Linked DNA regions of Diceros bicornis minor. The protein of the gene in region 4 interacts with the protein of the main gene of each other region in a pairwise test. Links are inferred from orthologs where the notes say so. Each region holds a gene or a part of one and is shown on either strand. Other genes may lie near its edges. The genes, in order: SAXO1, PLSCR3, TRIM42 and STK16.

Region 1 (7,719 bases), on a different chromosome or scaffold from region 4:
AGATTGGAGGAAAGAAATGAACAGAGCCTCAGAGACAGAAAAGAATACTTGAAGAAATAATATGCAAAATATCCCCAAATTTAGTCAAAGATGCACATCAAAGGCTCTGAAATTGCCCAGCAAGTCTAGTGCTGAGGCCTATTTCTGCATGTCTTCATTAATTCTCAGGCCCCATCTATACAGGAGAGTAAGCATATCCCGAGGGGTATGGATGAGTAGAGAAGTCAAGTATGTATTTGAATAGAAAATATGTAAAATTCAATGAGTAGGGAAAGACTCAAGCCCACTACCAACTTTCTTGCTTCTTTCCTGACTTTGGGGAAGGATTCCAAATGCCTTTTCTCTTTTAGCTCCTGCTTCCCTTACTCTCTTCACTTTACCCAGGAGTCTTGTCAATAAATGAAGGAGTCTGTGCTGCCAACTCCCTGCCCTCTGCCCTTCAGCCAAAGTCATCAAGTCTGAACCCAATTCCATCTTCCCCCCTGGGCCTCCAGTTCTCCCTACCCATGGTGCCACTCACTTTAGAATAAATATCTAATACCATCTTGAAGACTCATCTCTTTCTTATGAGACTATTCACTTTGCCCATCTTTAGGAATCTGGCTTAGCTAACAAAATAATGCCCCAAACTGGGGCCCAAGTGTCTCACATAAGTGACGTGCCTAAGGGGAAGTGAGGCTTGAAGTGCAAACCTCTTATTCATTAATTGATCTCAGGTATATGAACTAAAGGCAGAACCTACGTGAGAGAATTACCAAGGGCTGCAAGAAACAGTTTCATACTAAGAAGGGCTGAAATCATGAGCATTCACCTCATGGCACCTGCTGTAAATCCCCAAGATTTACAGTCAGTAAGAGCTGTGTGCAGCTGTAATGATGCCTCGTGCTGGGATGATAACCTTTCCAGAAACCAGGTGTTTTTTGTGTCTGGGCTTAATCAGCAAACCAAGCCAAGGCCCAGGTCCCGTGACTTTTTCATTCAGCAGGTGGCAGCCCCATGTCCGATCTCAAAAATGACGCTGGGTCAGACTTTAAATAGAGAAATTGGTGGAACATTCGATAACAAGGGTTCTAAGGGCAGAGGGAGACACTCCATGCAGATACAGGGGTGTGAAGACACAGGGCTGACCCATCCTTTCCCCCAGAAGCCTCTGGTACAGCACCCAGATGATGCTTCTTTACCTTTCCCGATAGGAAATAGTTTTGTTGTATGTACACATATGGACCAGAATCTTTGCTGAGTTTATAAGGTTCAGAAACGATGGTTGGTAAAATCTTGATGTTTGTTAATTTATCTCAATAAAAGCTTACTGGAACTCAAAAAAAAAAAATGCATCCTGACTGAGACACAGTTTTGTTCTTGATCTATGAAAACTAGTGCCCAGGCAGGCACAGGGCTGAGAAATGATACAACTTAGGGGAGAGAAGAGAAGGGATGCCCTCTGCTCATTTCATCCTTTAGTTCCCTCTCTGGGGAAGGAAACAAACGAGAGAGAGAGAAGAATTTCTGCTTCATTCTCTTCATGGGTAACCTTGATCCTGTCAGTTTTTCTTTTTAAGGCCCTTATGATCATTAACAACTTGTTCTGGAAATTCTTTCCGTGTCTGCATTCCTCCACTTTGGCCACATCTTGACATGAATAATATTGCTACTCTGGCCCTGGCAGGGACAGAAGGAACTTCTGGGTCATATGTTTATTGTAAGTGACATAAGGCAGGGATAATTTAGGACAGGTCAGAGGGGAAGTTTTTGTTTTGCAAAGCACTGTCAGGAAGAGGGAGGGCATGTGGGGCTCCAGCTGGGGGCCTCAGAGTTGGGTGATGGGGCAGGGCTCCAGCTCCAGAGAGAAGATTTGCCCTCATTCTCTTAAGTTTGTGGGCAACAAACAAAGGGCACCCCTCAACATCCATCCCTCAAAGCATCCTTTTCTCTATTTCCAGGATAGGAAATATATCCCTTATATAACAACATCTGAGACTGGTTTACATCTCACAAGGTGCGCTTGATTTCCTGGAAATTGCATATAAAGAGATGGGAAGACCAGCACCAGAGGCTGAACGGGATATTTGCAGACCATTCTTCAAGATTACTCTGACTCTTTTCGACCAGTTACTTGTCTCTTGTGCATATGTGTGCAGAGGACTTTTCATTAGCATTGACCATGGTTTCTTAAAAGGAAAAGCAATGCTCAGGAATGGTGCACATCTCTTTTTGTGGTCTTTAGACTCTCAGAAACTAAGGATGCTGTTTTCTTGGCAAAACGAAGCGCAAACTTTAAGGTTCATATTGTTTAAGTCACAGGCTAAAAAACAGGTTGCATAAAATATAATTTTTTTATGAATCAGGACCCAGAAACATTGTGCTTAAACCAAATCATTTAGGATAATGGCTTATCATAAAGCGACCCCTCAATACAGATCCCTCTGCACCCCGAATCCATTGAGCCATGTGGTTCAGTCTCTGCACAGCCCTGGAGCTAAAGAAATACATTCTTCGTTCATTTTCTTCAAGGACATTCAAGGGGACCCCAATTCAAAGTCTACGGCATCATTTCCAAAAAGCTCACTCTTTCTCTATTATCAAGTTGTCTTTCACCACCACCGCCATCACCAGCCTAGATGACGTGGCGCTTATGTTCCAAAGCTCAAAACTGCTTTTTCAGCAGCAGCCCCTCTCTTTCCATCGTTTTATTAGTTTGCTTAACCTCCAACCCTTCGTTATGTAGATCAATTTAGTCTCCCCACTCCCACCAGCAAGCAAGAATCCTTTCTCTTTAAGAGGAGGTTGGGAAAAACCAACCAGGCTAATAAATACAGAATTTTCCTTTCAGAGATATAGCAAATTAACATTAAAGCATTAATAGCATATGTTGATACTGTACATTAATGCAAGACTGTACATTATTTCATTAACACTGTACATTAGTACTGTACGTTACTCCACTAGTGCTGTACGTTCATATATTCACACTACTTGCCCTCACCTCGATGTGCTCAGACCTTCCATTGGTATGGACCCTTTCTGGTACTCCAGCTTGGGCTTGAAGGACTCTCTGGGCAGATAGGAGTGATAGAGAGGGTAGTTCTCGGTGTATTCGGAGAGAAGACATGGTTTCTCTGTTTTATCGTAAATCTTGGTAGGGAGATGCGGACAGTGGTGCCGCCTACAAAAGACACATGAAGTTAGGTCGCTTACCTTCTTAGGAAGAGTACATCCAGTCTGATAATGCTACCTCCTCAAAATGTGACCCAGTCATAAAATCATGTGAATGCTGGCATTGAAAGCAGGAATTTAACCCTTCCTTTTCTCTACTAAACTATGTGAAGTAGCCAGAATTTTTTAAATGATCTATAACTGCAGTTGGTTAATTGTCAAAATTCCTTGGACCATAAAATTACACACAAGTGTGGCTGATATTCAGCTACTACACGTACCACACTGCTTCTTTAAATATTGAAATACTTCCACCCCATAATAGGAAAATGGTTGTGGCCCTGAGTTCTCTGAGTGCCAACCCAGCTGCCCCATGACCTGCCCTGAGACCTCCCCGGGCCTCCCAATTGCCCAGCAATTAAGGGCTTAATACCTGACCTAACAAGATGCTCCAAGGCTGTGTGCTGGTGTCTCTCCTCATGGTTCCTGGGTCAATTCAGAACATCAGTGCACACATAGCAGAACCACCTCAGTTCTGAGTATACTGACCACCACTGACTACGTGAAACCATTTTCACATTGAAAGTCTGGCTTATTTATTCTTTCAGGTCTCATCTGAATTGTTGCCTCCTTAGAAAGACCTCCGCTGATCACCTTATACCTACACTACACCCCACCACCCTGTCCCCTCTCTCGCGGTTTCCCTCATCACTGTGTACGCCTTCCTCATCACTCAATGTTATCTGTAATAGGCATGTTTGTTGGTAAGCTTGTTTACTGTCTGTCTCATCTATTAAGCTCAGGACCTTTTCTATCTTGCTCACAGCTACAGCCCTAGCACCTCATATCCTACGTGATACACACTAAGCTTTCAATAAACCTTTATTGAATAAATTATTGAATATATAAATGAATGATTAAATGAACCTTATGCCTCAATATGCAGGTAGATGACAGATTATAATTTGACGTTATGATTTATAGTAAGCTTGTCCATTTTGCACTCATGGTAATAAATGAACCTCATTATTCTACTATCTGGACATTATTCTACAGCTGGACAAAGGGTAGCTGTTTGAGCTCTCAAAAACTAAGTAGTATATCAATTATCTGTGTGCCCACATACCATCCTTACCAACCACTTAGGGCATCTCTAGTCATTAGATACTAGCACATCAACAAAACTCCTTGCTAGTGATTTCCAACTTGGTCATATCGAGGAATGACAAAGTTATATCAAAAATAGAATTATTTTTAAATTTTTTACACAGAATCGATTTTAATTACAGAAACTAAAATACACAGTACCGTGGGGCAGCACGTGGAGGAGGGAGAGAGAAACAGACATACAGGGAACTCATCACTGCTCAAATCTAAAGCTATTTTCCAGGCAACGATTAGCAGGCTGCTCCTGTTGTTAATAAGTTCAATCCTCTACGCAAATGTTGCAGCCAACATTTACTGTTACTGTGTACCTCTCATCAACCCCCCAACCCCCAGAGAAAATGATCAAGCCTGTATTGTTCATATGGGTTGAATTACATATAAACAAGTTCCTTTAGAAATATCTCTATTTATTTTCTTCTCATTCATAGATTTGTGTATTGGAAAAGCCTTATGATGATATAAACTTGTTACATTTATTTTTTATTTTTGTTATTGTAAAAGTACTATTGGTTCATGGGGAACATTTTAGATCTTTCTAATTATTTACAAGGAAATCTTCCATAAGTATACTGTCCTTATATTATGAATATCTGAATTTTACAGTGTTAAATACACTCAATAAAAGTTTAGTATTCTTTTTTCAAAATGCACATTGTTGGCATTTAATGTACAAAGATGAATACGTATTTATATTTTGTATCTATTTAATAAAGTATCTCCTAATCATAGGTACATACAGGCTTTCACCTGTCCACTCAAGAGATAAATTGCGGAGTTTCATAGTATACAAAATAACCATTCCCCACAGTATAAAAATGTTAGATATTATTATCATCTGTGCTCACAATCAGTCCAATTCTCTGAGATTTCAATCTGACCCAATTAGTACCCTACCATTTTAAGACTCCAACAAACCTCAAATCAAAAGCCAAGAAGTACCAAAAATACCTCCACAGAGATATTTATTCACTCACACTCTTTGAAAGAAAAGTCAAGATTTTTTTAAGAATAACTTAGATTCAGGGACTTGCAATAAAACAGACTCCACAGATATAGCAATATTTTCCTTCTCCAGGTCCCTTGTTTTTTAACCAGTAAAATGTTGCTTTTATATAACCCCCTTTCCATATTGTTACTTTTTAAAATTGTAACATCCTGTAAAGGCTTATTCCAAAAGAAAAATAAATGTGAAGGCAAAATACTACACTGTGATTGGTATCATGAGGGGATTTCAGTATAGCAACGAGCTTCCATTCAGACACTGATGTTCCATTAAATGGAATTATATTGACACATAGAGGGCAGATCTGATTTGACTTGCTGCTAGTTAACTAAAACCTTGTCTCACTTTGAAATTTCAAAAACTCTTATTTGAAAGCGAATATTTCATTGCTTGACTTTGCTCATGGGGTCACCTCTCCTTACCTGTACCCAAATACCCAGAATATTCTTCTCAAGACACCAAGCACTGTATCTTCTCCTTGTTGGTCTGCCCACCCCCTCCTTAAACAGGACTTCCTCTACGATAAAGACCAAGACTGACATCTCTGTGTTCTGGAAGCTATCCTAATGCTTATGTATTTATTTAATAGATGGATGGGCAGTCGGACAGTGTATAGGACAATGAACTGCTACAAGATATTTACAAGTCCTCCGGAAAAGGAAAACAACTGATTTGCTCAAACATCAGTAGAGCCAAAAGGGAAAAGAGACATTCTCTGTTTATATGGACCTAATCAGTGCCTAAAGAAAGTATGTGGAATCACCACGCTTGCAAGATTTAAATGTAGGCTTGACAGTCATGAACCAAAAAAATGAGACCTCTTCCAGTTCTCGGATACTTGTACTCATTTTAGGAGCTGCCTTGGCCACCTTGCTCAGCAGCACAAACAAGCCTAGATGGGGCCAATAGGTAGAGAAGGAAAAGGGGAGAGAGAAGGTTTCTTCAGTCTATCAGAACTCTCTAAAGTCATTCCACTCAGGATTTACCAAAGGACCAGAGGTAAAAAGGAAATAATCCTGACGTTTTCTGATATTTGGTAAAAGGGGTAATAGACACCTTTCAATGGAACCCAGAAAAACTCAGCAGTAGTTGACTCCAAGCCAGAATCATAGAGTTTTGCAATTGAAAGGGGCCATGGAGAATATATGACCCAACATCCCCACTACGTAGATGAAAAATCTGAAGCTCAGAGAATGAAGTACATGACCTAACCATAAACAGAACCTACATCTCTATTACATCAGAATGACGATGTGCATTTCCTGACATGCACCTCACTCAGAGCCAACTGTGACTCAAGGAACCCTAGAACAGATGACAGAACTTTAAGGATGTAACGAGCACCTCTAGAATAGCACCATCCAATAGAAATGGAATGCAAGCCATGAATGAGAGCCACATACGTCATTTTAAATTTTCTACTAGCCACATTAAAATGGTAAAAAGAAACAGGTAAAATTAATTTTAATATTTTACTTAACCCAATCTATTCAAAATATTATAACTTCAACATATAATCAATATAAAAAATTATTAATGAGATCTTTTACTTTCCCTCTACATCTTCAAAATCCAAGATGTGTTTTACACTGACAGCACGTCTGAATTAGGACTACCACATTTCAAGGGCTCAAAGGCCACATGTGGTGGTCGCTTCCCTGTTGGAAAGTGCAGGTCTAGGATTTGAAGGTACAGACAAAAGAACTGTAAGCACTCAAGTGCTAGAAAGATGCCTAGAAATATTTTTGTTGGCTAATATGGAATTTGTCCCTTGCTTGGACTCTCTGACCTGCTTTCATGTGACACAATCAGAGGCATTAAAAGACATGAACAATTAATTGAAGGAGTTTTCCATAATTCTCCTCTCTCCGCAGAGCCCAGCTTCAGTTTTATACACCTGTAACGGTCCCTGGAGTTGCTCTCTTTCCCGCCACTTTCACTTTTCCAAAATGCTTCCCTTTTTTCAAGGCCCATCTTGAAAGCCACCACTACACCACCACCACCACCCCAGGGAGCTACTGACGATCCCACTGCTCCTTGTTATGGCTGTGACTCTCCTCTAGTGTGCATGGTGTCATGTCCCTACCTCTTTTAGGATCCTTTCTCTTCTGTACTGCCTTGTACAGTCCTTAACTTATAACCTTACAGGTTAAGAATTTTCATAGTTGCCAACAAAGCTATTCATCAGAAGAAAAACATGGCAACTCTTCCTGCCACCACCAGGCAGCATGAATAGTAGCTAGTATAACACAACTTTGGGCTTTTCAAACAAATGGACTTCCAATAGTGTTTTAGAACCTAACCTATTTGTAAGGAGAACAGCATCTGTGGATTTCAGTGGCTTGTCTTGCCTCTACTGTGGTCTTTTAGAATCCCCCACTGAGCCTTGCCTGGTA
Region 2 (6,854 bases), on a different chromosome or scaffold from region 4:
CACAAGGGCCCAGCCCATGACAGACTCAAGAATCATCCTCTACTCTAAATCTGGGCTGGCCTTAGAGTTTTTCCCCCTCAAGACAGGCCTGCAGGTAACAATCAGCAATGGTCCTTAAGATGAAACCCTTTTTGCCGTGTTTTTGTAAGACCATGGGGCCATCATGTTTCTGAATGGAGGCAAACTGGAAGTGTGGTGGGAGTCACAGTGGATTGGGATTGATGAGCTCAGGGTCTTGACCTTAGTGTTGGCCATCCTGCCTCATGGATCATCTTTATGGAGGTCCCAGAAACCTCCCCTTATGCCTGATACGTACCTCAAAGTTAGTGTCTGTGCCACAGCCACAGGTCCAGCAGGGCCCCACCACTCTCAAGATGGTCTTTCGATCGGCATCCTGGATGGAGAACTTGGGGAGGAAGGGATGCCAGGTCTGTAGCACATGGCCAATGGTGGTGCCAGGTGGAGCCTGTACTTCCATCTGGAGTGGGAGGCAGTCAGGGTCACTGCTGAGCCAGGGCATCCTGGCCCAAGCTCTCACCAGTCCAGCTCTACCACCTATCTCCCCTCACAAGGCCTCCCATCCCCTTCACTAGACCACCTGTCATCCCCCTCACTAGACCTCTCATCCCACCTGCCCACTCCCACCAGAGCGAAGCCTCATCCCAGGCCTCATCCCTCGTCCTGCCCCACAATTGGCCCGCCCCATTAAGGCCTGCCCCCTACCCAAGTCACTCCCAGGCTCTATCCCTCCCCGCCCACCTCCTGGAGACCACACGGGCAGCAGCTGCAGCCACAGCGGAGGGGGCGGAGCAGGCGCAGCACCTCTCGGTCCCCGGGGTCCACCAGGCGGACACGCAGTGGCCGGCCGGCACCACAGCACAGACGGGCGCAGCAGTTGCTCTCCTCAGCCGCCTGACCCAGGGGCTGTCCGGCCCCCGAGCGCAGTTCATACCGGTTACTTGTCTCCCAGCCTAGGAGCGCTGCCAAGGGGTGATACGCTGAGGCTCAGGCACCGGCGCCTGTCCAAAAGCCCACTATCTCTGCCCCCATCACGAGGCCCAACCTACTCCTCCTTCCACTCACTTTCCACTCGCTCAGCCTTCTGATGAATCAAGATCTGATCAATCTGGAAAGAGAGTAGGGGCCGCCCCGCCGTCAGCTGGCCGGCTTGGACGTCCGGTCCCTTTCCCGTCACTCCTCCCTCCTCCCCTCCCTCCCACTCACCTGCACCAGGAATTCGAGGCCAGAAGGCACCCCTGGCAGTGGCAAGAAGGGGACAGCAGGCCCCGGGGCCCCGGGGCCAGGAGAAGGGAAGAGAGCGAAGCCGGGCGCAGGGGCAGGCGCGTGGGCGGGCACTGGCGCCTGCCCGGGCCCAGGATGCAGCGCCGGCTCCGGGTACCCGGCAGTCACAGGGTAGGGAGGTGGGGGCGAAGGGGCGTAGTCTTTAGGGGGCAAATGGCCTGTGGGGGGACAGGAGTAGATTAGAATAGGACCCGCGGCCTCATCCCCAAACCCCTTAGCCCACGGGCCACGAGGCCACGGGGGAAATGTGGTGGCAAGAGACTGAGAAAGATGGGGCGGGGGAGCAGGGCGGCGGCTCCCCGGGAGGAAGGGAGGAGCCCCACTAAGCCAGTCTGAGCACATTCCCAGAGGATGTGTTCGACACCCGGCTCCCAGGTCCGTGGGGGGATAACGGAGACCCTCGGCCTTGCGCCCACTTACCTGCCATGGGGAAGGGGCGAGGGTTCGCGGGATGTCGGTATCCGAGAAGCTTAGTTCTAGAAGTGGAGGCAAGCTCGGAGACAGCCAGACAGACACAGAGACAGACACAAAGACGGACAGGCAAACGCCGAAAGGCAGCTGCGCCCGGCGCCGGCCCAGGGTCTCTTGGGCGGCGCCTCTGACTCGGAGAGAAACCGAAAGTGTCAGCGGGCGGGGCAGGGTACCTGGGACCCTGGATTCCCTCAGGGGCCCCAGAACCGCCCCCTCCCTTTGTTCTCCCATTTTCCGCGGAGTAGGCTGTAGGCAGACGGCAGGACAGATGGACCTGCGGTCAGACCGACGACCCGACCTCGAGGGAGATCTCCTGACCCTTCTGTGCCCCCCGCTCACCTGAAGCCCCTAGAATAGCCGGGGTGCCCAGCACTCGGCGGCTCTCAGAAGCTAGTGGAGGCGGGCCCAGGACCTGACTCCGCCCCTCGACCCGTCCAGGCCCCGCCTCCCCGGCCTGGGTGGCGCGGCTGCGCAGAAATGATGCCGGCTCTCCCGCGGGGCCGCGGACTCTGGACCACCGGTTCCTTCTGGTTGTCCGCGTTCCCGCCCTTTCCGCTCTCATGTAGAGTCCGAGAAAGGAAGCTCGCCTGGGGAGGGCAGCCGGCTGAGACCTAGCCCTGCGACACCCATCAGGTCTACGGGCGCAGAGTCCTCAGTCCCCCTTAGTGGGAACGAGGGCCGCTTGCGCGGCCCTGGACCCCAGGCTCCTCCTCCCAAGGGCGGTTCGGGCCTCGCTGACGCAGCGGAACACCCTTCACACTCGTTGGCTTCTAGGACTGGCTCCTGGCTCCCTTTCCACCTCTCTGGGGCTACCTCGCTGTCCCCTCTCCCTGGCGCAGCAGTGACCCACACAGACACCTTGCAATTCCAGTACTTCCTTCAGGCGCCCCCAGCCACGCGGGTGACAGGCCGCCAAACCGAGTCAATAATGAGCGTGCGTGAGGTGAGGCGCGGGGCCAGAGGAGGCAGCGCGGTCAGCAGGAAAGGCTTCCCCCAAGAAGAGTCTCTTCCTCTCGATCCTGAGCAGAGGCATGCAGGCGTGAGGAAGTCCTGCGCCTTGGGGGCCTATAGGCTGAGTGGCAAGAGATGAGTTTAGAGAGGGAGTCCAGCCCACGTGCACAGAGGGCCTTCTGGGAGCTGGGACTCGGCCCCAAGGACAGCAGCTAGCCCACTGAAAGATTTTAAGACCGAGGGAGGTCAGATGTTTTAGAAAAACCATTAAAACTGCAGCGTGGAGAACAATGGAGGCACTCAGGCTGGCTTGTTGGCAGTAGTCGGGGGCGAGGGGGAGGATGGCTGTGGTAGTGCAGACCGACAGCAGAGGCAGATTTTGGAGATATCTAGACAATAATATAGAACTTGTTTGGGGGGTGAGATGTGGAGGTGAGGAGTCCAGGATGACCCTAGGTGCCTGCCTGGTGACCAGGCAGGTGGAGGCGTCACCCATCAAGATGAACATGGGGAGATGCAACTTCGGGGGTTCCTCTGCCTCTATGTCCATGTTCCTCTGGGCTGGTCAGCTGCTCCCACAGCTTCAGTCATCATCTGCTTCAGACCCAAGTGCCTGGTACCCCTTAGTGCCTCAGATTCTACATGACCCAAACCATGGGCCAGCCTCCACGAAAACACATAGACGTACAGAAATTCAGTTATTCAACCAAGATTTAGTGAGCACTTACTGTATGTCAGACAGCATTGAAAGTGATAGGAATATACAGCAGTTAAAAAGAATTGACAAAAATTCCTGATCTCCTTGGGTTTACATTCTAATGGAGAAGAGACTGATAATGTAAACAAAATACATCGGAAGTCAGATGGTGACAAACGCTATGAAGAAAAATAGAACAGGATAGGAGGACAGAGAGTGGTGGGCAAGAGTTGCAATTTTGAAGAGGGTGGACTAGGAAGGCATCATCAGGAAGGTGATAGTTGAGCAAAGACCTAAGGGAAGGTCAAGGATTGAGCCATGCACACTTCTAGGTGAAGAGTGTTTCAGGCAGAGGGAACAACAAGGGCCAAGGCCCCAAAGCAGAAGTGTGCCTTACTTGTTCCATGAACAAAAAGGAGACTGGTGTGGCTGGAATGGAATGGAATGAACGAGGGGGAGGTAAGAGAGGTCACAGGAGGCCAGATCACATACGGCCTTTTAAATCATTGGATTATACTCTGAGTGAAATGGGCAGTGTTGGAGGGTTTGGACAGAGAAGAGACATGAGACTTACATACCAAATCAGTGGTCCTCAACCCTGGCCACAAGTTAGAATCATCTGGGGGTGCTTTAAAAATCCCTCTGCCTGGGCCCCACTTCATATCAATTAAATTAGAATATGTGGGGCAAGGTGCAGACCTAAGAACTTTTTGAAAATTTCCCAGCAGATTTTTTTTTTTTTGGTGAGGAAGATTGTCCCTGAGCTAACATCTGTGCCAATCTTCCTCTATTTTTTGTATGTGGGATGCTGCCACAGCATGGCTTGATGAGTGGTGTGTACGTCCACACCTGGGGATCCAAATCTGTGAACCCTGGGCCAGGAGGCCGAAGTGGAACACACGATCTTAACCACTATGCCACCAGGACGGGCCCCCCAGCAGATTTTAAATTGCAACCAAGGCTGAGGACTACTGTATTAGAAGGGTCTCTCTCTCTCTCAGGCTGCAGTGTCCAGAATAGGCTATAGGTAGGCAAGGGCAGAAGGAAGTTCTTGCAAAGAGCTGGGTGAGATATGATGGTGGCTCAGACCAGGCACCAGAGTGGTAGCAATGGAGGTGGTGAGAAATGGTCAGATTCCGGTTATGTATTTGAACCAAGAGGATTTGATGATGGCTTGGATATAGGATGTGAGGCAAAGGGAAGTCAAAGTTGACTGGGGCTTGTCCCAGGAGACCCTTCACAGTGTGGGCTCCACCCTTACTCTGGTCATTTCCCGCCTGCCCCCTCCGTCCTGAGCTCCAAACACTCCTGTTCTCCCTCTTGTTACCAGCGTGATCTTGTCCCTTTTTTCTGGTGAACTATTCATGCTGAAACCCAGCAGATGGACGGAAGTGCTACCAGTCCCCAAAGGCAAAACAAGCCCACCTCAGTATCTCCTTGTAACACTCAACATATTGTAACCAATTATTTTTTTAAAGGGTCCGTCTTCACTGCTGAAATCTGAGTTTCTTGGTATGTACAAGAAGGAAAGAACTTAGCTCTGGGAATTGGACAGAAGAGAGACTGAATCACAGCTTACCCACGTCCCAGCTGTATGATATAGAACAAGTTACTTCAACTCTCTTATCTTCACTTCCCACTAACTTGCAGGGCTCTTGAAAAGACTGAATACAATGTGCAGTAATAATAGGGACCAATTATCAAGCAGGCCTTATTTATCTTGGTTCCCCAAGAGTTCAGCCCAAAGCTAAGGTATTAGGGATCACATTACATGGAGGGTGGCCATTCCAGATTCCGGATTCTCCACCTGGAGGTTCTATGTGCCCCAGACATTACCTGAGATGAAGGATGGAAATGCAGCAAGAGCACTGGACTGGGAGGTAGGAGCCTGGGGATCCAGTGCTGGCTCTGCCACTGGCACTCGGGCTACTCTGGAGGTCCCCTCTGAGACCTTATTTCACTCATCTTTAAAATGAAGAAATATTGTGATCCTCTACTAATACACCTCAAATCATGCCTCCTCCCTTGATATAAATGTTTCAGTGGCTCTCCATTGCCCTCAGAACAGAGTCCAACCTCTCAGCACAGGGCCCTCCACCATTTGGCCCCTGCTACCCGCATTGTTGGCTACTGACCCTCTCAAGATCCTCAAGCCAGCCACCAGGAATTCTTTCAGGTCTTGAATGCACTAGGCTCTCCCCTGCTTCAGGGCTGCCTCAAAAGCTCTTGCCTTGGTTTGGAACACACCCCTCTCTCTCCTCATCACCTAACTCCTCCGGGTCTCCAGTGAACACCCTTTTACACTGCAGCTACTACAGGAATCTGGAGCTCAGGAGGGACTGGGGTGGAAGATAGACATTCTGGATTGAAAAGTATGCAGATTGTAATTAAAGATATGGGGCTGAATGAGATTACCTGAAAATCTTCTCATTTGGAGAAATGGTCTATACTTTTTTGAATGCGCACCTTCAGAAAAATTAAGTATGCACGTAATATACTATACAGATATGCACTTTATAAAACATACACAAAAATAGAAATCAAAAAGGATGAAATTAAAATATGTATACATAGGCGTTCTATTTTTGTGTGTGTGTGAGGAAGATTAGCCCCTGAACTAACATCCAATGCCAATCCTCCTCTTTTTTGCTGAGGAAGATTGGCCCTGGGCTAACATCCGTGCCCATCTTCCTCTACATTATATGGGACCCCGCCACAGCATGGCTTTACAAGCAGTGGGTTGGTGCGCGCCTGGGATCTGAACCTGCAAACCCTGGGCTGCCAAAGTGGAGCACGCGCACTTAACCGCCACACCACTGGGCTGGCCCCATGTTTTTCTTTTTCATTAAAATTTGGAAGCCATTGATTTCAACTGGGTAGAGGAGAAGCTGGCAAAGCAGCCACAGAGATGGGGAAAACCAGAAGAGTGGTGTCACAGAAGTGACATGATGTGTTTCAAAGACAGTGTGGCCAATTGTGTCAAATGCTGCAGAAAAGCTGAGGAAGATGAGACTGAAAATCATGCACTGGATCTGGCAACCAGGAGGTCATAGTGATTCACAGGATCCCTCCAAGGGCATTTATGGGGAAGAGATGGGATGGAAGACTGATCAGAGTGGGTTGCAGAGTAAACTTGAGTCCAGACCTCTCTCCCGAGCTCAGACACCTTCCTGAGCTCCCCAACTACCTGCTTGGTGCCTCCACTTGGATGTGTCCTAAGCAACACGTCCAAAACTGATCTTCTAATCTGCCTCCCCCTAATCTGCCCCTCCTTTGGTTTTTCTCATTTGGGTAACAGCACCTCCATTCAACCAGATGCGTAAACTAGAAATCTTTCTCTCATTCGCCCCTTATATCCAATCCATCAGCAAGTCCTATCAGCATTATCTTCAAAATAGTCCTTTCACCACCTCTTGCAGCCTAAAGCAAGCCA
Region 3 (6,823 bases), on a different chromosome or scaffold from region 4:
TCCCCACTGCTGCTAGCCAGCTCATGTCCACAATAGAGGAGAACGATGGTCAAGTCCATGACAAGTGTGTGCTTCTGCTGTTTGTGTGTGTGTGTATGTTGATTCTTTATTTGTCTAATATCCAAGGCTGATTTCATATATTTAATTGTAAGAACTATGGATGAAGAAAAAGCATACTTGTAAAATTCAAGTGCATGTTCTAAGAAGCTACCATCAGGGCAAAAGCAGATGATGAAAAGAAATGAATTCACTGTGGGGATGGAGGAGTAAACAGACACACAATTGGTGACTGTTCCTATTTCTTCTCCTCTGTTCACATTAGTGACGTTTGGGTGTTGATCTTGATGTTGTGGCTGTGTTGTCTTCTGCTGTTCCTTCTTGCAGTCCCCATCTGCCCCTGTCTCCTTCCCCATCCCCTTGGCCAGGGACCTATGTCTCGGAGCCCAGAGAGTTAAAGTTGCTGCCCAGACATGTTGGAGTAGAGTGGCCCTGTGGTGGCAGAGAGTGCACCTTGTGGAGACTCAGGCACCTGGAAGGCTCCTCCCTTAGGGATTTGGCTGCTGGGCTCCAGGCCTGCCGGCCTCAATGTTCTCAGCCCTGAGCCCTCCCTGCTTTCCCAGCCTCCTCCCTGGGCCCTGAAGGGCTCACCTGGAGATGCAGGTCAATTGTTCACAGGGTAGCTGGATGGTCTTCTCTAGTTTGATAAGGTGGGAATCTGAGAATCAGGTGTAACATGAAGGGAGACAGCAAGAGAAATCAGAAGAAGGAGGGAGTGGGGGTGGTGTTGGGGGAAGAGGAAGAGAGAGAGGGCAAGGCTAAGAGACAGGTGTTAACGGCCCAGGGAGAAGGGGTACAGGTGGAACAGGAAGTGAGCAGAAGAGATGAGTGAGGCGGACAGGGATGGATACGGCCAGAGTGAGGCAGGAGGAGCGAGACGCTGAGCAGGAAGTGGTGGTGAGGAACAGGAAGGGCAGCGGTTCAGGAGAGAGGCCAGATGGAAGATCAGCCTCAGTGCGCCCAGAGCCAACCCCTTGACACTTGCGATAGCATCCCTGCCCACCCTCGGAAAGCTCAGGCTTGGACCCGGGCATCCAGTGGCCACGGTTCCGCGCCAGAACAGTTCCAAGCGCCGCGGCCTTGCCTGCTTGCTGAGATCTCCAGCCTCTGCTCCTCTGCACAGCCTGCTCCCTCTCCCGAATTCAGCCCTGTTCTTCCTGCTCCTGGGTTCTCACTCTACCACCCAGCAAGTCTCCCAGCTTCCCTCCTTGTCCCCTCCAGGCAGTTCTGCGCTTTAGAATCACCTGGGAGGGGACCTGTACAATTCTGATGCCTAGGTCGTTCCCCAGACCAATAAAATCAGAATGTCTAGGGGCGGGAGCCAGGCATCAGTAGTCTTTAAAGATCCCCAAGTGATTCCATGCAAAGCAGTTGGGAGCTACTGGCTTAAGGCATCTTCCCAAAGAACCAATGTCATCCCTCGCCTGTTGAAATGGGCTCAGTGACTCTCCATTGCTGATGCGCAGAAAGTGGGGCAGTTGAGAGGAGAGAGGAGTGTGGACACTACTTTCTGCACCTCAGAGCTTCTGGACCTGCATCCGGGACCCCTGGGTTCTCTATTCGCACAAGCACCATGAGAGGTCCCTGAGCAGAGGGTAACATCTATTAAGCATCTACTAAGTGTGAACTGCAAGACAGAGCATACTCTTCCCCTGAGTTCACTGAACCTTTCTCACAGTATGGCTTTTCCAGCCTTAAAAGGCTTCAAACCTGCCTCTCACTTTTCTGCCTTTCCAAATCCTGTCATCTTACAGCGCTCAGCTTTGATCGTTCCTCCTCAAGGGAGCCTGCCTACTGCTCCCAGATCCCCCTCATGTGTGACATAAAAAGCCTGGCTTGGTCAGAGCGGGAAGAGGATGTGCACTGCCTGAGACAGGGAGTGAATGCCCCAAATGAGTAACTGAGACCCTCAGTGCCATGACTTCTGGATAGAAATGGAGAGAAAGCTGGCAGAAGGTCACGGCCATCTGGGGGACTTATGTAGGCCATAGGGGTCAAAAGCTGTGGAAGTTCTTGCTTTTCCGATAAGTGTTGCAGATATCAAGAGTTCAGAGGAGGAAGAGGAGGAGCAATTTGTATTTTTATGTCACATAACAGACTACAGAGCACGTACATTAATCCTCAAACCCACCGAATCGTGATAGGCGTTGTTCTCTCCATTTTGCACCAGAGCGTTTTAAAGTTAAGAGCACAGACTTTGGGTTCAAATCCTGACCACATCTTACTGGCTGTTTGATCCTGGGCTGCTTACCCTCTCAAGGGCTCCGTTTCCTCATTGCACAGTGGGCGTGTGCTGGGGGTCGGATGGGGCCGTGCATGCAGTGCCTGGCAAGTTGCTTAAGCACTAAGTCTTAGCTATGACTGTTTGTACAGACGAGAGAGCTGAGGTTCAGGGGAGCACAGTGCTTGTTCACACATGGGGGACTTGGAACTCAGGTCTCTCCACGGTTAGTGGCTGTTTAGGACACACTCAATTGCTACAAAATTCTTGGGTTCCTTTTTTCAGCTAGAGAAATGTACTCGCAGGACCGCTGGCCTTCCCTGTGGACCCCACAGCTGGCAGGGGCCCCCAGTTTTCCTGAGCCAGTGTGGCCCACGTTGGGTGCCCGGCACTTACGAGATGCGGATGCTCTTGAGGCGGCCCTTGCGGAATGTGATGGTGGCATTGCGGCAGCAGCGGCTCTCGTAGTAGTAGCACTTGAGGTTGCTGCTGGTCGTGCAGCAGCACTTACAGTTGGGGTCATTGGCCCAGGAGCAGCAGCACCAGTGGCAGTTGGGGTTCTCGGAGCAGGTGCAGTGGCAGCACTGACAGTTCCGCTCATCCTTGTAAGGGCAGGGAAAGCAGGTGCAGTTCCGCTCCGAGGTGAAGAGGAACTTGCAGCACAGACAGGAGCATAGTCGAGGACAGCATCTCTGCCATGTACAACATGGAGAGCAAACACACATGGCGGTCTCCATGGTGCCTACATGATTGCCACCGCCCTCTGGGCCTCTTGATGCCTCCTCTACTAGAATCTTCCTGTGAGTTCTCCTGTGAGGAGGACCCTCCTCTCCCTGATGAGCCCGTCAGCTTGGAGGTTGCAAGAGGTTGGCTGTTATGAGGCCTTCACAGGCTGTGTTCCTACTGGGAAGCTCATGGGCTGGCATTTACATATATCAGACTGAGGCCATTCGCTTATGTCACAATCCCTGTCTACCTACCATATCTCACCAAGCTGGGTAGGTGGGAGGGTGAGATCTGGGGGGTAGTGGCAGGTGGGCTGATGGACACTCCATGCTTTCAGAGGACCAACTCCAGAGGAGAGTTAATGCCATGAGCCATCCTGGAGCTTTAGCTGTCACTTGTCACCTTTTAGGTTATGGGGTGGATTTCAGAAGCTATTTCTCTTTGCTTGGTGCTTTTCCTGCAACTTGGGTAAGTTGACTTCAGGGTATGTCTTTATAGGCTGAAAGGCCTGGGTATGATTAATTGGAAAAGTAGACTGACGTGATGTTCCTCTCCTTGGGCTTTTTCTGCCTTGATAGAACTCTTTGTTTTATGAACAAAGCACGCTGTTTACAAATGATAGCAATGCTACATTTAAAGGGAATCACCATTTGGAGAAAGAATTAAAGGAAAAAAAGATGTAAGTTCACTTAGGCGCTTCTTTCAGTAGTGGTTGAGTTGGTCAGTTGCTGCATCGTCACTGCTGCTTCTCATGAGTCTTCATGCATAAGTTACTCTGAACATTTCTTGGCTTTTTTATAGCTTCATGGTGAAACGGAGGCTTCAAGGCTGAGGCTCAAGCTCTGTTTCTCCCCCTCCTCCCATCCCACTATATCCCTTTTATCAATAGGCTGGAACTCTACATGAGAACCTTTAACTCTTCTTTTAGTACATGCTCAGTATCTCTAGAAACGACCTTATATTTTAGGGGAGAATTTTGCTTTCCACTCTATGCAGCTTGAAAAGAGTTAAAGAGCAGAAATTTCAGGGCCGGCCCCATGGCTCAGCGGTTAAGTGCGCGCGCTCCGCTGCTGGTGGCCCGGGTTCGGATCCCGGGATCCCGGGCGCGCACCGACACACTGCTTGTCAGGTCATGCTGAGGCCGCGTCCCACGTACAGCAATTAGAAGGATGTGAAACTATGATGTACAACTATCTACTGGCGCTTTGGGGGGAAAAATAAATAAATAAAATTAAAGAGCAGAAATTTCATGGTCATTTGGTATAAACACTCTGGTGTAAACACTCTTATTATTTTTCCAAAAAGAAGCAGAAATGAGAGCTGAATTTGGCTGCAGTAGTTTATTGCATAATTTATTATCTCTCCCTATGATTCTCACCTTTATAACAGGAATGTTCACTGAGTACCAACAGTGTTAGCCACACATTGATCTTAGATTCCTACAAATGAAAATCCTGGATCATAGGGTATGTGCTTTATTTTTTTGATAGATACTACTAAATTGCTTACTTAAATGTGTGTGCCAGTTTATAGTGACATCAATAATGTATGAAAGACATTTTTTCCCTATGAGTTTTGTGAACTCAATTTTATCAATATTCCTTTCTACCTGCCAGGTACAGAGGTTTGTTTCACTCCTGAATTTCTAGTACATTTTCATCATTGGTCTGTGCAAGGCTTTCTCTTGTTTTTTTTTCCTTTCGTTTCTTTTTAAATCCTTATTGAAATATAATTTATTTACCATTAAACTCACCACTTTAAAGTCAACAATTTAATGGTTTTTAGTATACTCTCAAGACTGTGCAACTATCACCACTATCTAAATCCAGAACATTTTTATCACCCCAAAACGATACTGTGTACTCATTAGCAGTCATTGCCTATGCCCTCTCCCTGCAGCCCCTGGCGACCATTAATCTACTTTCTGTAATATTGATACATGCTAAAACATGGATGAAAATTGAAAACATTATGCTAAGTGGAAGAAGCCAGATACAAAAGGTCACATTGTATATATTGTATATTGTATATTATATGGCTGTACCACATTTTGTTTATTCATTATCAGTTGATGGGCATTTTGGTTGTTTCCACTTTTTGGCTATTAGTAATAACGTTGCTGTGAACATTTGTGTGCAAGTTTTTGTTTGAACATATGTTTTCAGTTCTCTTGACTATATACCTAGGAGTAGAATTTCTGGGTCATATGCTAACTCTATGTTTAACTTTTTGAGGCAATGCCAAGCTGTTTCCAAAACAGCTGCATCATTTTGCATTTTTGCATTCCCACCAGCAATGTATGAGGTTATAATTTCTCCAGATCCTCACCAAAACTTGTTATTGTTCTTTTAAAATTATTATTATTATAACCATTATAGTGGGTATAAAGTGGGATCTCATTGTGGTTTAGATTTGAATTTCCTTGATGGCTAATGATGTTGCGAACTTTTTCATATGCTTATTGGACATTTGGATATCTTTTTTGGAGAAATGTCTGTTCAAGTCCCATTTTAAAATTGAATTGTCCTTTTTATCGTTGAGTTGTAAGAGTTCTTTGTATAATATAGGTACTATACCCTTATCAGATATATGATTTGCAAATATTTTTTCCATTCTGTTGTTTGTCTTTTCACTTTTTTGATAGTGTCCTTTGAAGCACAAAAGTTTTAATTTTGATGAAGTCTAATTTACCTGTATTTTTGTTGTTGTTGCTTGCTCTTCTGGTGTTATTTAAGAAACCTTTGCCAATTCCAAGATTTTAGAGATTTACACCTATGTTTTCTCCTAATAGCTTTGTATTTGAGCTCTTACTCTTAGGTCTTTGATCCATTTTGAATTAATTTTTGTATTTGACATTTGAATGTCCATATATGTGGTTTATTACTGGACTCTCTATTCTAGTCCTTTGATCTATACGTCTATTTTTACACTAACCACACTGTTCTGATTACTGCAGGTTTGTAGTAAGTTTTGAAATTGGGAAGTGTGAATTCTCTACTTTTGTTCTTCCTTTAAAGATTGTCTTGGATATTCTGATTCCCTTGTATTTCAATATAAACTTTAGGATCAGCTCTTCCATTTTGGCACAGAAGTCCATTAGAATCTTGATAGGGATTGCATTTAATCTATAGATCAATTTGAGGAGGATTGTCATCTTAGCTATATTAAGTTTTTCAATCCATGAACACAAGATGTCCTTCCATTTATATAGGACTTCTTTACTTTCTGTCAACAACGATTTTCTTTTTTGGTTTTTGTTTTTGGCTTAATCCAATACTATTTATTATCTTATAGTTCTGGAGATCAGAAGTCCAAAATAGGTCTCATTGGGCTAAAATCAAGATGTCAGCAGGGTTGTATTCCTTCTGAAGGCTCTAGGAGAAAATCTTTGCCTTTTCCAGCTTCTGGAGCCCACCTGCATTCCTTGGCTTGCGGCCGCCTTCCTCCATCTTCAAAACCAGCATCCTAGCATGTTCAGATCTCTCTCTCTCTGACCTCTTCACACCTCTTCCTTTATCACATCTCCTCTGACTCTGATCCTCCTGACTCCCTGTCAACAATGTTTTTTAATTTTCAGTGTACAAGTCTTGTACTTCTATGGTTAAATTAATTCCTAAGTATATTATTCTTTTGATACTACTGTAAATGAAATTGTTTTCTTAATTTTATTTTTGGATTGTTCATTGTTAGTGTAGAGAAATAAGCTGATTTTTCAATGTTGGTCTTGTATCCTGCAACTTTGATGAACTCATTATTAGCTCTAATCTTTTTTTGTTGATTTTTAAGGAATTTTTTATATATATGACTTCATGTTATCAT
Region 4 (8,011 bases):
ATAATTAAACATATGTTAACAGGATCCCCCTGGCTGCTGTATTGAGAATAGACTACATGGGGGAGGGGCAAAGAAGGGCAACCAGTTGGGAAGCTATTAAAATAGTCCAGCTGAGAGGTGGTTTGGACCAGGGTGGTGGCAGTGGGGGTGATGAAAAGTAGTTGAATTCGATATATTTGGAGGATAAAGCTGGCAGGATTTTCTGATGGATTGAATGTGGGGTGTGAGAGAAAAATAGGCCTCAAACATACCATAGTGTTTAGCCCGATCAGTTGGGAAACAGAGTTGCTGTTAACCGAGATGGGGAGATTGTAGGAACTGCTGGTTTGGGAAGCAATACAGGAGTTGAGTTGCATCATTATGCCTTTTAGATCTCCAAATGCAGAAGCCAAGTAGACAGTTGGATATACATTTCTGGAGGCCAAGGGAGGGTCCTGACTGGAGATACACATTTCAGAGTTATTACCTATTAGATGGAATTTAAAGCCAGGCGAAAGGATGAGATCATCTACGGAGTGAACATAGTTAGAAAGGAAAAGCACCCAAGGACTGAGCCCTAAAACAAGCCAGCATTTAGCGGAAAGGAAAATAAAGAAGAATGAGTAAGAGACTGAGAAGTGGTCAAAAAGATTAGGGGGGAGGGGCAGGGACCAGATAGTGTGGCATCATGGAAGCCAAGAGAAGAAGGTATTTCAAAGGACAGAGTGATAGACTGTGCCGAATGCTGCTGATTGGTCAAGGAGGATGAGGCCTAAGAAATCACCATGGATTTAGCAACGAAGAGGTCACTGGTTTTCTTGAGAAAAACAGAGATTGCATGTTTGGTGTTCCAGCCATACTTTATCATTTTAAACGTATTTCATAGTCAACTGAGTTTAGGAAATGCTGTAAGGGACATAAAGCTCTCCAGCACCCTAAGAAGTGGAACAGTACCTAGAGAGTTCCTCAGCAGATATAAGGCATTTACCAGAATGATCTTTTTAAAAGGTATAAATCAGATAAAGTTATTCCCTTGCTGTAATGACTTACTATTTGCACCTGAAATGAAATCCAAATTCCTTGAAATATTGGGCATCTCAGAGCTTAATCTTGAGTTCTCATCGTTTGTTTCTCTACGCTCTTTCCCCAGGTGATGTCTCAGTCCCCATGGGTGTAAATGCCATATTTAGACTGACGACTCCCAGATTTCTCTCTCTAGCTCAGACCCCCGCCCCGCCCCGAGGCTCCACACTCACACATCCTATTGCTTGCAATATCCTCACCTGAGTGTGATATGATAAAAATTTAACATGACCATAAGTATTGTTTTTACCCCCAAGAGTTGCTCCTTTGCCACTCCTAGTCTTCTCTATCTTCCCTGTATCAGTAAATGGCACCACCACCTTGACTGGCCAGAAACTTGATTCCTCTCTTTCCGGCCCCTACCCACACTATCCCCGCCCCTCCTCTTCCCATCAAAATCTATCAACAGTCCTGGTGATTTTTATCTCCAACCTGTATCTCAACTCTGCCCTCTTCTTTCCATTTCCATCACCATCACCTTAGTCCAGGAGCCATCATCTCTCTCCTCAACCACAGTCATAGTCTCCCAATTAGTTTCTCCACCTCCACCCTTGCTCCCCTCAATCCATTCTCCATATCCAGGCTCAAGTAATCTGAAAACAAACCAGGTATGTCTGGTTATACTCTTTCAATGGCTTTCTACTGTGCTTAGAATAAAATGCGAACCCCTCACAATGGCCTACAAGGTCCTGCATTAATAGTTACTATCTATCACCAATTTCATGTCACACTGCTCTCTCCCTTACTCGCTATGCTCCAGCCATGCTGGCCTCAACCATGCCATATTCTTTCCCAGAGAAGAATATTCTCGGGGTCTTACAATATACCATTCCCTCTACCTGCTCATTCTCTCCTCACTCTTCATATGACCAGAGCTTTCCCTTCCCTAGAGTCAAGTGAAATGTCATCTTCTCAGAAAAGCCATTTCTGACCTCCCCACCTAAAAGAGGCCCACTGTGTTATTCACGATCTCAACTCCTTGTCTGTTTTCTTGTGTGGTATCTCTACAGCTTGCAATAATCTTAGAGGTCTTTGGTTTTTTTAAGAATCTGCTGCTTTCACTATAAGTTGCATTGCACAGGGACTGGGTCTGTCTGGTCCCCCTGATTCTAGCATCCTGCTGGGCATGAAGGAAACACTCAATAAATATTTGAATGAATGATCTCCAATCAGGGGACACTCTCTTCTGTTTTGGGCACCCAAATGACTCATTTTGTTATTGTTTACTTTTTCCTGTGGTAAATCTTTTGTCTCAACTCACCTGGATCTGAGGTTCTCAGATGAATTTTAGGTTTTCGAAGCAACCAGGCTGGGAGACCCCCCTGAGACAAACACGAAGACAACAAAGAAACATGTAGGTTTTGCTGAGAGTGGAGTAGGGAGGTAAGAAGAGAGTAAGTTGAAGTGGCCCGAGAGTGTGGGCACATGGGTATAGTAGGAACCGCACATGGGTGGCTGTGGTTCTATCCCTTCTCCAACTAACTCACCATCTCCCACTCTGCACAGATGTAAGGTCCTGGTCTCAGTATGACCAACAGGTTCGCTATAGCTGCCTCATTTAGAAATGCAATGAGGTCTCGGCTGCCATGAAAGTTATAGACCCCAGGCTCTGGTTCATGGTAGTTCCAGGGCACATAACTGAGAAAGGAAGAGGTTAACAGGGCCCAAGGAGGGTAGGGGACTGCCGGGGAGGCCTAAGGGCTCAGGCCTTGCAGGGAATCTCCAGGAAGTTGTTGGAAGGAGGTCCCGGCCCGCCTTTTCCCACCCTTGGCCTGGAGGCTCTGAGCTCTAATCCCTCCTCATACCCAGCCAGTCTTCCTGTCCAGAGCCCCTTAACGGGGTGGTAGGAAGAGTAAATCCCACCCCTCCCTGGCTTGCACGAGCACTTCTTACAACTGCACGGTGTTGAGGCCACTCATTCGCATCTTGAAAAGCCGGTCTGCCCAAAGCACCCTCGGTACCCGAAAGTAGTGGAGGCTGCCAGACACGTAGCGGAACGGGACCCCGTCCAGGAGAAATCTGTCATGATCCCGATCCACTACGAACGACCGAGTGTCTGCCTGCAAGGGGACAGACCGTGCTCAGCAGAGGTCTGGAGTGGGCAGTCAGCGTCTCCCGAGAGCAGATGAGATGGAACTAGCCCTGCCCGTTGTTTTGTTATTTTCACTTTCTTTCTCTCCTCCGCCAGATCCGATCCCACCTCACTGCACCCAGCCGGCCGGTTCAACCCTCTCTTCTTACCTGGGGCAGCAGCAGCGTCAGGAGCGGCAGCAGCAGGGAGGGAAGGCAGCGGGGCTTCTTGGGAGCCATGGCGCTTACCGGGGTCCTAGAGTCAGAGACAGCGGACCGATCATCACGTGGTGGATTCCTGGGAGGGAACCTCAGAGAGCAAGGGGGCGGAGACTACCTCAAATTGCCAGGCAATTAGCCTGGACTTTGTCTCCAGCCTGCAGCCACCCGCTACTCTACTGTGTGTAAAATCCTTTACATTTGAACCAGCTTCCTCAGCATCACCTGGGAGCTTGTTAGAAATGCAGAGTCCTACCTCTGACCTATAGAATCAGAATTTGTATTTTAACAAGATTCCCGGGCGATCCTAAGCAGTGCTCTACTAGACTGAGCTCCCTGAGGATGGGAAGTGCCTTTTGCCCATCTTGAATCCCCAGCTTCTAGCACAGGGCCGGGCACATAGCAGGTTAAATCTAGATGAATGTCAGAACCGGGGGCTAAAACAGGTTCCGAACCAAGGGAAACTGTAGGAAGATCTTCCCAGTGATGTGGGGGGGGAGGGTTACAAAACGGATCTTTTTCCTAGAGAGCCCTGTTTCAGCAAAAGAGACCATCCAGACCATTCCATCTTCTTTGGAAGAGCACCCCTTTCCAATTGATCGCTGCCTGCCTGGGCAAGAGATGTCAAAAACAGCTGCCTGGTGCCAAGGCTTGGGAATTTATGAATTCCACTCCTGCCTTCACAGTCCCAAACCTAGGATGTGAGAACCAGGGTAATAATAATAATTATTATTATTTCTGTTTATTGACATTTACTGAGGGCTGTGTGTCAGATATTGTGCTAAGCACTTTACATCTCATTTAATCTTCAGACAACTGGATGAGATAGATAATTATCATTCCCATTTTACAGATGAGGAAATCGAGGAACGAGAATATTAAGTAGCCTGTCCAAGGTCACACAACTATTTTAGTAGAGCTGGGATCTGAACTAGGCAGTCTGGCCTCACTGTTCATGCACTTAACCTTAGGTGCTATTATACCTATTTTACAGTTAGGGAAAGAGAGACTCCGAAAGGTTATGTAACTTGTCTGAGGTCACACAGCTTGAGACCTCAGATCTATTAAGACCGGATTTAGACCCTAGTCTGGTTCAAGAGCCTGAGCTCTTAACCGCAGAGACGAGGTAGTGGGATACAGGCCAGAGCCTCCCAGGTTGTACTGATCAGAGCTCTAGGGGGCCAAGCAGCCAGTACTCGCCCCTCCTTGCGTCCCCCTCCGGGCTGAACTGTAGTCACCCACCCAGCGCGCCGGAGGGATGAGGCCTCCTACCTCCGGCATTGGGAGATGGAGGTCCTGGGGGCCTCGGGCCGAGCCCGGCTTTGCTCCCCTTTGCCGTAGGTGCCTGCGTCTTGACCCCTACTGAAGGCCAGGCGTGGAACCCTCTGCGGGTCCTGGGACCGGTCCTCCCCAGGCCTAGCCCGCCCCCGGCCTCCCAGCTCCACGCCCCCACATCCTCCGGACGCCCGGCGGTTGCTAGGAGACCGCGGGCCGTTATGCCAGCGCGGACTGATGACGTAACCACTGCTTCCGGTCCCTGGCGCTTCCCTTTGGCCGGAGCCAGGTCAGTAGGGGGGCTGGGCTGGGTAACCCAGGGCTCTGTGCGCCGAGGACGAGGGTGGGCCATGCAACGGGTGGGCCCGAGCCTCGCCCCCCCGGACCCCCGGAACTGGCCTCTGCCGTACGTTTGCGGCGCGACGGGCGTGGGAGCCGGGGCCGCCCGAAGGTGCGCTGGGGGTGGAGGAAGCGTCTGGTAGTGTGTGGCCTGAGGCTTCAAGGCACCTGACCCCAGGCTTCTTGGAGCTGGCGTCGCCAGGGCCCGTTTTTTCTAGGTTCCGAGACCTGGGCCTGAGCTCTCCACATTGGGACTCCAGGGGTCATCTGGATTGTGCCCGACCCGCGACCCTGCCGGTTTTTCCCTTCCAGCATGATCCGCTGGGCCTCCAGTGCGTCGCCTGGAGGAGCCCACTCAACCTGGACGAACTCTTTGGCAGCCTCAGAACGTCCTTGAGGAGGATGAGTGAGACACTATGGGCCACGCGCTCTGTGTCTGCTCTCGGGGAACTGTCGTCATTGACAATAAGCGCTACCTCTTCATCCAGAAACTCGGGGAGGGGTGAGTGTTTGGAAATCACTTAGCTGGTCCCCAGGGTTGTGGTGATTGGGGGACATAAGTCTGAACGTGATAGGGGCATAAAGGTTTTATTCTCTAACCTATCCTTTAACTCACCTGACAGAGCCTAGCTACACGTAGTCAAAAAAGTGGATTCTGGGGCCAGGCCTCCTAGATCCACGTTCTGTGACCTTGATAAGCCATGGTTTCTTCATCTCCTTAACGGAGATAATGATCTTGTGTCACTGATGGAGCTGTGAGGATTAAAAGAGAGAACACATATAAAATGTCTCGGTCAATGCCTGGTTCATAGCACGTGATAAATGTTGACTATTATTTATTTAATATTTATTGAGCATCTGTCATTTTCAGAGCATTGCGTTATGACTGTGGAACCTCAAAGATTACTATGTCCCTGCTCTTGAGCTCAAAGTGTAATAGTCTTCAGATGTCTCTTAGAGCCACGTCTTGGGAGGGTTTCTAATAAATGGGAAAGACAGCCCCCTCTTCTCCCAGGGAGTTCTGGGTCCAAGCCATGTGGGAGATGACCGTGGTCCTTCACTGACCCCTTTGGCCCACAGTGGGTTCAGCTATGTGGACCTAGTGGAGGGGTTACATGATGGACACTTCTACGCCCTGAAGCGGATCCTGTGTCACGAGCAGCAGGACCGGGAAGACGCCCAGCGAGAAGCAGACATGCATCGCCTCTTCTATCAGCCCAACATCCTTCGCCTTGTGGCTTATTGTCTGAAGGAGCGGGGCAGTAAACATGAGGCCTGGCTGCTGCTGCCTTTCTTCAAGGTCAGAAAGTCTCCTGGTTACAGAGGGGGTTGCAACAGAGCCACCTCCCAAGGCCTGTGTGAGCAGGCAAGCATGTTAGGAAACAGAAGCCATGTCCTGGGTTTGACCACTTGGGGTTCAGAGGAAGCCAAGGGTGACTGTGGAGTGTGTGTGGTGAAAGGGTCGATAGGCTTTTGACATAGGGAAGGGATCAGGCTCAGGGAGCAGAGACTTGAAAAGCCTCTCCAACTGTGGGGAAACTTGTGTTGCAGAGAGGTACGTTGTGGACCGAGATAGAAAGGCTGAAGGACACAGGCAACTTCTTGACTGAAGATCAGATCCTTCGGCTGCTGCTGGGTATCTGCAGAGGCCTTGAGGCCATTCATGCCAAGGGTTATGCCCACAGGTCAGTGGGAGGGCCCTGTGTCCCTGCTGGGACAGAAAGGAAGAGCCTCACCAAGAGAAATGAGAGATCTCTGCTCTCCTCCCATGATTCTTTTGCCCCCTGGGATTCCAGCTTCCCTGTCCAGGGACACTCATGGGTCATTTCCACTTCCCTACAGGGACCTGAAGCCCACCAATATCTTGCTTGGAGATGAGGGGCAGCCGGTTTTAATGGACTTGGGTTCCATGAATCAAGCATGCATCCACGTGGAGGGCTCCCGCCAGGCTCTGGCCCTGCAGGTAAGAGAGTCTCCAGGTTCCTTTGCCCACCTGCTCCCCATCCTTGACCCCTTCTGCTGCATGCCCCCGTTTGGTCACATGACCATGACCTGTTGTCCCACTTTTGAGCTCTGGGGCCACTGTTCCAGGACTGGGCAGCTCAGCGGTGCACCATCTCATACCGGGCCCCGGAGCTCTTCTCTGTGCAGAGCCACTGTGTCATCGATGAGCGGACTGATGTCTGGGTGAGGAGGAATACTGCTCTGCACCTACGGTGGGGGAGAGGAGCAGGTTTCTGGTGCATGGGGCCCCAGGAACCATATATGTCCCCATCCCCCTTGACTTCCTTCCTGGGAACTGTCACTGTATTCAGTTGCTCAGGAAGTGGTTAAATCCTGGGGTACAGCTAAATGTCAGGGCTGAAGGCAGTGACTAAGCAAGGGGTGCAGAGGCCTCTGGCTAACTGGCAGTTTTCTCTGAGCCCTGGTGGTGTGACATGGCTGAGGTCGGCATAGTCCTTCTGGCTTATGTAGTCTCCTTTCACTACAGAATTAAGAGGAGAGTGATCACCTCCACTGGTCTTCCAAGGAATAACCAAGTTATGCTCAGTCCCTAGGCTGTGTGCTATATGCCATGATGTTTGGGGAAGGCCCTTATGACATGGTGTTCCAGAAGGGTGACAGTGTGGCCCTTGCTGTGCAGAACCAACTCAGCATCCCGCAGAGCCCCAGGTGAGCGGTAACGGGCACTAAGCATTTCAGACTCCTCCCTGACATGAGCACAGTCGGAGCCTTAGCACGGGGGATGGGTGCCCTGCAGTCACCCTGCCCTCCTCCCACAGGCATTCTTCAGCACTGCGGCAGCTGCTGGCCTCCATGATGACCGTGGACCCGCAGCAGCGCCCTCACATTCCTCTCCTCCTCAGTCAGTTGGAGGCACTGCAACCCTCAGCTCCGGGCCAGCACACTACCCAAATCTGAATAAACGTGGCCACATTGAGGACGTGGCCCCTGTGCCTTGGAAAGAGTCTCCCATCCCTCACTGGAATCTGTCCATTGTATCCAGGATGCTCTCTTGTATTTGGGGGCAGCTCAGTCTTCTTTC

What was found.
Region 1: the proteins of STK16 (region 4) and SAXO1 interact in binary tests that used the Homo sapiens proteins (3 or more experiments, as listed by UniProt). The two-hybrid records come from large-scale screens. The link is inferred for Diceros bicornis minor from reciprocal best matches to the Homo sapiens genes STK16 and SAXO1.
Region 2: the proteins of STK16 (region 4) and PLSCR3 interact in binary tests that used the Homo sapiens proteins (3 or more experiments, as listed by UniProt). The two-hybrid records come from large-scale screens. The link is inferred for Diceros bicornis minor from reciprocal best matches to the Homo sapiens genes STK16 and PLSCR3.
Region 3: the proteins of STK16 (region 4) and TRIM42 interact in binary tests that used the Homo sapiens proteins (3 or more experiments, as listed by UniProt). The two-hybrid records come from large-scale screens. The link is inferred for Diceros bicornis minor from reciprocal best matches to the Homo sapiens genes STK16 and TRIM42.

The regions. Positions count from the first base shown.
Region 1 is NC_080761.1:41,259,544-41,267,262, forward strand, and holds the start of SAXO1 (stabilizer of axonemal microtubules 1), read right to left. Parts: upstream 3,022-7,719; 5' UTR 3,007-3,021; coding exon 2,984-3,006; intron 1-2,983. UniProt on the Homo sapiens protein: May play a role in the regulation of cilium length. Stabilizes microtubules at low temperature.
Region 2 is NC_080757.1:10,920,050-10,926,903, reverse strand, and holds the start of PLSCR3 (phospholipid scramblase 3), read right to left. Parts: upstream 3,022-6,854; 5' UTR 2,632-3,021; exon of another isoform or gene 1,901-2,631; 5' UTR 1,730-1,900; coding exon 1,723-1,729; intron 1,461-1,722; coding exon 1,225-1,460; intron 1,127-1,224; coding exon 1,084-1,126; intron 981-1,083; coding exon 760-980; intron 479-759; coding exon 317-478; intron 1-316. UniProt on the Homo sapiens protein: Catalyzes calcium-induced ATP-independent rapid bidirectional and non-specific movement of the phospholipids (lipid scrambling or lipid flip-flop) between the inner and outer membrane of the mitochondria.
Region 3 is NC_080741.1:12,847,353-12,854,175, forward strand, and holds the start of TRIM42 (tripartite motif-containing protein 42), read right to left. Parts: upstream 3,016-6,823; coding exon 2,675-3,015; intron 1-2,674.
Region 4 is NC_080776.1:9,544,425-9,552,435, forward strand, and holds the start of STK16 (serine/threonine-protein kinase 16), read left to right. Parts: upstream 1-4,997; 5' UTR 4,998-5,077; intron 5,078-5,083; exon of another isoform or gene 5,084-5,277; 5' UTR 5,278-5,381; coding exon 5,382-5,467; intron 5,468-5,581; exon of another isoform or gene 5,582-6,045; coding exon 6,046-6,265; intron 6,266-6,516; coding exon 6,517-6,650; intron 6,651-6,807; coding exon 6,808-6,928; intron 6,929-7,056; coding exon 7,057-7,152; intron 7,153-7,516; coding exon 7,517-7,638; intron 7,639-7,748; coding exon 7,749-7,887; 3' UTR 7,888-8,011. Other genes in the region: GLB1L (beta-galactosidase-1-like protein), read right to left, coding at 2,324-2,384, 2,550-2,700, 2,956-3,122, 3,304-3,372. UniProt on the Homo sapiens protein: Membrane-associated protein kinase that phosphorylates on serine and threonine residues. In vitro substrates include DRG1, ENO1 and EIF4EBP1. Also autophosphorylates. May be involved in secretory vesicle trafficking or intracellular signaling.